Coturnix japonica: one gene and its partner. The protein of the gene in region 2 purifies or fractionates together with the protein of the main gene of each other region. This does not show direct contact. Links are inferred from orthologs where the notes say so. Each region holds a gene or a part of one and is shown on either strand. Other genes may lie near its edges. The genes, in order: KPNA3 and nuclear cap-binding protein subunit 2.

What was found.
Region 1: the proteins of nuclear cap-binding protein subunit 2 (region 2) and KPNA3 purify together in Homo sapiens (co-immunoprecipitation; 3 studies listed by BioGRID and IntAct, with this or other methods). This does not show direct contact. The link is inferred for Coturnix japonica from reciprocal best matches to the Homo sapiens genes NCBP2 and KPNA3.

Annotation. Positions count from the first base shown.
Region 1 is NC_029516.1:151,498,420-151,502,324, forward strand, and holds the start of KPNA3 (importin subunit alpha-4), read right to left. Parts: upstream 2,392-3,905; 5' UTR 2,295-2,391; coding exon 2,214-2,294; intron 1-2,213. UniProt on the Homo sapiens protein: Functions in nuclear protein import as an adapter protein for nuclear receptor KPNB1. Binds specifically and directly to substrates containing either a simple or bipartite NLS motif.
Region 2 is NC_029519.1:2,393,661-2,397,565, forward strand, and holds the start of nuclear cap-binding protein subunit 2, read right to left. Parts: upstream 2,470-3,905; 5' UTR 2,342-2,469; coding exon 2,255-2,341; intron 2,005-2,254; coding exon 1,823-2,004; intron 1,136-1,822; coding exon 997-1,135; intron 353-996; coding exon 254-352; 3' UTR 1-253. Other genes in the region: TEX11 (testis-expressed protein 11), read left to right, coding at 2,573-2,603, 2,714-2,826. UniProt on the Homo sapiens protein: Component of the cap-binding complex (CBC), which binds co-transcriptionally to the 5' cap of pre-mRNAs and is involved in various processes such as pre-mRNA splicing, translation regulation, nonsense-mediated mRNA decay, RNA-mediated gene silencing (RNAi) by microRNAs (miRNAs) and mRNA export.

The DNA of each region.
Region 1 (3,905 bases), on a different chromosome or scaffold from region 2:
GAAAGAGGGAAGATTTAGGTTGGATGTTAGGGGGACGTTCTTCACTAGGAGAGTGGTTAGGCCCTGGAACAGGCTGCCCAGGGAGGTTGTGGATGCCCCGTCCTTGGAGGTGTTCAAGGCCAGGTTGGACGGGGCCCTGGGCAACCTGATCTAGTAAATGTGTATGTTTGGTGGCCCTGCCAGGCAGGGGGGTTGGAACTACATGATCCTTGAGGTCCCTTCCAACCCGGGTCATTGTGTGATTCTGTGAGAACTGATCATCTCAATGAATACAGACGGACACACCATCAGGACATACAGTGGTATCTGAGGATAAGTACAGTAAGTGATAGCAATTATACAGCACCGCTGCGCTTCTTTCTTTCTCTGCTATAAATTTAGCTTAAATTCTAGACACCCGAGTTACATAAAATTTACTCATAGAAGCACTTTGAACTCGAGCTTTCAAATAAGGATCATGATCAAGAAAACAAAAATCAAGTCAAAAAGGACGTACAGTAGAAAATTTCAGATATGTGATAGGAATTAAGTTGTCCTTAAGACATGACAGACACTGACATCTCTAATTCTTTTAAATGAATCTAAATTTCACTCTAGTGAGTATCCATTCTACTGTTACTTATTCCTGTGTTTAATCTGCTTGGCGCCCACAAAAGACTCATCTCAGCTCCTGACCTGTCCCAAAAGCAGGGATGCCAGCTTCAGCTCCAGCAGAGTTAACGTGGTTATCCGGCACAGTCTTGAGCTCAGCCACAAAAGGATCCAGTCAGCAGACTGGGAGATAACCCTGGAGGATCCGCTTCTCCAGAACTGCAAATACCCTATTCCAAAATAATTACTCCGCTTCAGGAGCAAACATTCTCCTGAGAGCGGGGGGACCTCAGCAGGGCTGCTCTAACTAATCCCAGTGAAGCTCAGGCTGTCAATTCTCCTCTCCCCCCCACACACAGAGGGAGATATTTAATTCCCCCTCCCCCCCCCCCCATCTTGGGCACGCTATAACATAAGGAAGGATGGATGACGGCTCAGTTTGCACCGGGCATCGACATACCTAACCTTTCCCTGTTTGGAGCTCCGATGGATTCAGGCCAGGGGCTGAGGAAGCAGCAACAAAGCCAGCGAGCAGCACGGGCAGCTGAGGCATGGGTTTAAATGAATGAGGAGCCACAGGAAGAGCCTCGGTGGAGGAGAAGGGAAGGAGGAACCCACCACGCCTCCTCCTGCCCTGAGAAGCAACTGCTTCAAGAAAAGATGGGAATTTTTAGCTACTTCCTAACGTTTCCCAGCGTTACCCAGAAGCGTTGAAGTTAAAGAGCTCCTCACACGCGATATTACTGCGAGGAAGCTCTACCATCGTAAGTTCAGCAAAAAATTAAAGGAAAGATTAGTTCGCATCGGGGGAATGTCTGCTTCAAGGCACCGCCGCCGCTGAGCCCGACCCGCAGCCAGCCGTCCCCACCCAGACAATAGCAGAGGTGGGGATCCTGCACAGACACCACACGCGATCCTAAGGGCCGATCGCAGAAGTCCATCTCGGTGATAGCACTGGAGGTGAGGAGCACCCTTAGGAGAAGTCAGCGCACACTGACACGGCCTGAGCCTTTCATTCCTGTGAACCCTCATCTGATTCGAGCCCCGCTGAGGTTCCAGCACGGCTCCCACCCCTTTCTCTTCCCGTTACAGAACCTCAAACACAACAGGGGTGGGATGAGCTCCCAGCCCAGCCCCGTTGCGGAGCGATCCCTGCCGGGGGGCAGACGGGCCTTCAGCCCCACATCGCCCCGGTGGTGCCTCCGACTGAGCCAGCCGCCAATTCGGCGCCTACCGACACTTAGACACAGCACGGCAGGCTGACTGCGGGCGGAGCGGGCCGGGAAGCCCCACAGGAGGCGAGGAGCGGCCCCGGGATGGGCGCACGGCTCCGGCCCGGCCACAAAAGGCGGCGGCACCATTGTCCGCTCCGTGGCCCCGGGGGCGGCAGTGCCGGGGGCCGCCCCCCTCCCCGTCCCACCCCCCGCTCCCGTCGGCCGCGCCCGAGTGACGGAGGCTCCGCGGCGCTTCCCCCCCCTCCGGCCGCCTCTTCCCGCCGGCAGCGCCGCGAGCGCGGCCCGGCCCCGGCCCCGGCCCCGGCCCCGGCCCCTCCTCTCGCCGCCCGCCCGCTGCCGGAGGAGGAGGAGGAGGCGGAGGCCAGGCCCCGCCGGCCCGTCGCCTACCTCCACGTCGCGGCCCTTGTTCTTGAAGCTCTTGATGCGGTGGTTCTCCAGGCCGGCGGAGGCGGCGGCGTTCTCGGCCATGGCGGCGGCTGCTCCCGGCGGCTGAGGCGGCTCCGGCAGCGGCTGGAGCGAGGGGCGGGGGGGAGCAGAGCGGGGCGGGGGACGCGCCGTGACGAGCGCGCGCCGCGGGGGGCGGGAGGAGAATGGCGGGAGGGGGAGGGGAGGGGGGGAGGGGGCGCGCCGCCGTTGCCCAGTGACTGCCAGAGCGGCGGGCGGCACGCAGCCAATCACAGCGCGGATCCGGCCGCTAAGCCCCGCCCCCTGCCCGCCGCGCTTGCGCCTTTGGGGCTGAAGGACGGAGCGCGCTTCCCGGTGTGCACCGCGTTGGCGCGGGGCGTGCTGGGAGGTGTAGTCCGCAGCGGGCGGCGGCCTCGCACGTGGAGCGGGAGGAGCCGGCAGCGCCGCGCCAAGGCCTGAGGACACGGGGAGCGACACGAGTGTGGGAGCACAGTGCGGACAGACGGAGCTACAGCTAATGAGGGAACACGGCCATGTGCGAACTGCGGTGTGAGGGACTGAGGGTGCGCTGAGCGCCGCTGTGTGAGAGCGCTGAGGTGAGGATGGGGCGGACAGTGAGAGGGTGATGTGGGGAATCGGCGTCACCAGGGTTGGAAAGGACCGACATCATCAAACAGTCCAACAGCTCTGTTACCAACCGCTCTGTTACCAACAGCTCTGTTACCAACAGCTCCCACTGAGCCACGGCCCTCAGCACCACATCCAATGTTCATTGAGCACCACCATGGTCGGTGACTCCACCACCTCCCTGGGCAGTGCATTCCAATGCCTGACTACCCTTTCCGAGAAGTAATACTTCCTAATGTCCAGCCTGAATCTCCCCTGGCGCAGCTTAAAACCATTCCCTCTAGTTCTATCACTAACAACACAAGAGAAGAGGCCAACCCCCAGCTCACTACAACCTCCCTTCAGGAAGTTATAGAGAGCTGTAAGGTCTCCCCTGAGCCTCCTCCAGGCTGGACATTCCCAGCTCCTTCAGCTTCTCCTCAAGAAGAGCATGTTTCTTGGAAATAGCACCCAGTTCCCTCAGAAACCTCAAGCCATGTCACATTCACACCCAGCCACGTCAAGGTGGCTTCTAGGCCTGACACTCGCTGCTGTGAAGGAGAATGGGATCCAGCTGCCCAGCTGTCTTCAGGAGAGCTGCCGAAGCAGATTCAGTAGCTGAGAACTTCTCTTTGCCCGCCAAGGAAGGTGGTGCGGCCGCCAGCTGCGGTTGCTCAGAGCCGCTTGGACATCAGAGCAGTGCCGGCGCAGCCACTGCCAGACAGGGGTGTTGCGTTTATCCTCTGGAGGAGCTGCTAGCCATTGCCACGAACAAAGGGACTTTGTTCAGATCCATTCAACATAACCTATGAGGTAAAGTGGAAAACTTGTGAATAAAAAATGGGAAGTGTACTGAGGCTGAGGCAACTCAGCTTACCAATCCGTAAACCTACACCCACCAAATAGGTGGTATGTTTATATACAGTGGTGGTGATCATAGTATGGAGTTGCAGAGGTTGAAAGGGATCTCAAGAGATCCCAATTGCTACCACAGACTCCAAATCAGAATCACAGAATCATAGAATAACCCAAGTTGGAAGGCACCCCTAAGGACCATTGAGCCCCATT
Region 2 (3,905 bases):
GTGTGACATGCTGCATTTCTTCTTACCAGAATCCTGCAGAGTTGTCCACTTGTTTCCCTTGTTGCCCTGTATCAGCACAGAACATCCTCTCTAATCCAGAAGAAAGGGGGAATGAACACATGTATATCCACAGTCTAAGGAGGGTCACCTTTTGCTGGAACTTGGATCTCACTCCCTACCCCAATCCAAAACGCAAGAACACGGCTAGCTCAAGAAGAACAGAGCCCTCTACGAGCTAGAACCCATGAGGCAATTAGTAGACTGCAGGCTGTTGATTTGCCTTCTGCATCTGTATAATCTTGCCAAAACCTCCTCTTCCCACATCGTAGTCTGTCCGGTATTCATCTCGCACCTGGAGCAAGGCAGTAACACAAGTATTAGCATCATGTTAGGCTTCAGAATCATCACCACTTCCTTGCTCCGTAGTCTGAGAAATGAAGTTCAGGTGAGAATTACTTTGACTCAGTTTGAAATCTCTTCAAACAATCCACCAAACAGATGGTGCAAGTGACAAATGAGGATACATCTGCTGTCAGATCATTTTAGAGGGGAAGCAAAGATCCCAAAATATTTTGATTCAGCTTTGTCATCCAGCTTCCAACTCTCTGAACTGCTAAGCTTGGCCTCCAGAGCGTTTCTCCCTTCCCCAACCCTCCAGAAATCTGTAAGGGAAATTTAGCTTCTCACAGGGCAAACTGATGGATCATGAATCCATCATGGATCTAGAAATTGTGCTCCCTCCCCATTCAAATTCTGCATCATTTAAAAACTGCTAGCCTGGAACAGGGAAAATTTCGCTTGTACTGTGAGGAGTCATGGAGTCCTGTCCAGCTGTAGCCATAGTTATGCTTCCAGCTCTTTATACCAAGGTAGCACTAGTTACCAATATCACCTAAAATTCATTGCTGGGTCTGCACTTCTGAATGAGACAAAACAAACAAAACAGCACTGCCCTAGGGGGACTGTATTCAAGGCCTGAGCTGGTATTGCCTTTACCTGTCCACCAGTCTTTCCTCTTCCATACTGCCGTCCCTCCTTGAATCCTGCATCCCAGTCTGTTCGAACAATGCGGTCATCGAGCCGTGTGCCGTTGATGAATCGCATTGCGTGCTCAGCATCTGCTCTTGTGTAATATCTAAACCATACCATAAGGAAAACTAAACATGCCACTTTGCTGCCTGTAGGGTAAAAAAAACACCAATATCAAGCCATTGTATTTAAGAAGCAGAAGAACCTTTCCTGTCTTCCAGCCTTTTCTACTTTTCCCGCTCTTTTCTATGGGATCAAAAAGCTGTACTCTATAAATCCAAGCTGAAAATAGCTCCCACTCCTTCCTCAGGTTCTGGCTGCAATGTTAGTACCTGTACAGACAAGAAACAGCTTTGGATCACTTATTTCACAAGTAGATAAAGCAAACCGTTAAAGCCTTGCTAAGGGCAAGAAATCTGATGCTTTTTTTTTTTAATACCACATTAAACTCAACTGAATTTGAACAGGAGGCACCGGCCTCACAGGAGAGCTCTGCAAACAGCTCGCAGCACAACGTGTACGAGCACATGCCTTGTGCTTGGGAACAGCACCACGGATCTCCCTGCTGGTTCTGCAGGTGTGAAGCCAAGGTGAGAACGTGAACACGTGCCCATAGCTTGGGCCGTACAAGGGCTCAGCATCCACACACGACTTTCACCTATGGCAATGCGGGTGGTTTGGGTGGTGTTGGGAATGCAGGCAGCAGTATGCCTGGAAGGGAGCCCCGTGAGTTTCACTCCTTTCAGGGTTTTTGACAGCTGATCTTACTGCAAATAGGGCCCAGAAAGGATACTCCACGAAGCAGAAGCCGCAGGCTGTTTTCTTCACCTTGTCCAGCCCCATGATGATCTTCTTGACATCGCCACACTTGGAGAACAGCTCCTGGATCTGCTCCTCGGTGGTGTAGAAGGACAGGTTGCCCACGTACAGCGTGGAGGAGATCTTCAGGAACTTCTCCTGAAGCTTTTTGCTCCCCTGAGGGCAAAGCGGAGCACAGCACGGGCTCACACCGTGACGGGGCCACACCGAGACGGGCTCACACCGTGACGGGCTCACACCGTGACGGGCTCACACCGTGACGGGGCCACACCGTGACGGGGCCACACCGTGACGGGGCCACACTATGGCACATCACATCCTGGCAGCCCGGCCCCGCCCCGCCCGCAGCCCCCTCCCCAGACAGGCCCCTCGGCCTCAGGCCCCGCTGCCCCCGCCCCGCGCGCACCCGGAAGTGCTGGTCCCGGTATCGGCTGATCTCGCAGTACGAGTCGCTGTTGAGCCCGCTGAGCGTGGTGTGCAGCAGCCCCGACATCTCTCTGTCTCGCCGGCTCCCGGCAGGTCCCTGATCCCGGGATCCTTCCACAACCGCCGCGACTCCCGCAGGACAGCGGCCTAGCGGGCAGGCCAACCGCCGCGCAGCCTGATTGGCTACACGGGGCGGAAAGGCGGGGCGATCGTGCCGAGCAGCCAATCACCGCGCGCCGCTTCGCTCCCTGCATGCAGCGCGGGGTGGCCCGGCGCTCTCCTCAGGGCGGTGTCGGCCATGGTGGGCGGGCGGATGGCGGCGGCGGGAGGTACCGGCCGCTCAATATCGCCGCCCGGGGGCTGCGGTTGCGGCTGCGGCTGCGGCTGCGTAGCCGCTCCGACGCTCAGCCTGACGTTTCCCTCCCGGCTTGTCTTGCAGAGCTGCTCCGTGAGCTGCTGAGGGAGGAGGCCCCGCCCCGCATCGCGGCCCTCACCGAGGAGCTGTTCCAGGCGGCGGGGGCCCTCAGTGAGGCGGACGGCAGCGCGGCGGAGGTAGCAGGCCGCGCACCGCCTGTCCTTCCCCGTGCATGGGGCGCTCAGCACTGCCGGCTTGTCCGCAACGTTGGGTTATCAGGGTTTATTACCTTTGTGCAAAGCTGCATCAGCTTTTAACGAGAGTTTCCAGTCCATAGCTTTTGTTGTTTATCTGATAACATCAGAAGTTTCTGGGTTGCTACTGAGGACGATTAAACCACTTAATCTTGTTGGAGTGTGTCCAGAGGAGAGCCACAAAAATGACCATGGGCTTGGAACACCTTCCTGTGAGGACCGGCTGAGAGCTGGGGCTGTGCAGCTTGGAGAAGGGAAGGCTCAAGAGGGCTGAGAGCAGCCTGTAGATAGAGGCTGTAAGAAGGAAGGGGACAGACTCTGTAGCAGGGTCTGTTGTGACAGGACTAGGGGAAATGGTTTCAAACTAGAAGAAGGGAGATTTATATTGGATATAGGGGAGATGTTTCTTACTGTAGGAGTGGTGAGGCACTGGCACAGGTTGCCCGGAGATCAGTTGGGTGCCCCATCCCTGCAGACACCCAGGGTCGGGCTGGGTGGGCTCTGAGCATTGACAGAGCTGTGGGTGTCCCTGCTCAGTGCAGGGAGCTGAATCAAATGGCCCCAAAGGGTCCTTTCCACCACTTACAATTCAATACAGGCCAAAGAGTTAAAGTCACACTATAGATGTGTTTTCAAATCTGATACACTTCTCTTTTCCAGCCCTTTCTAATTTCACAACATCTGCTTACAATGTACATAATGTGTTCTGAAAGCTGCCGGGGATTCAGTTGTGTTTTGGATGTGGCGATGTGCTGTTGCACAAATTTTGTATGTATGAATGCATGTGAGAAAACTTCATCCCAGATGGATGGGGTAAATCAGGTCATGTTTTGCTAGGCCTGGAAAAGGACTTGACAGAAACATATGTCAGGCTGTTTCAGCAATACAGCAGATTAATGGGATTTGTTCAGGAACATATTTGAATGTTTCTGAAGTCCACCACTTCTCAAACAGGATTTGCTGTTTGGTTTAACTTCAGATCGGAGCTGAAGGCACTGATGGATGACATGGCATATATGTGC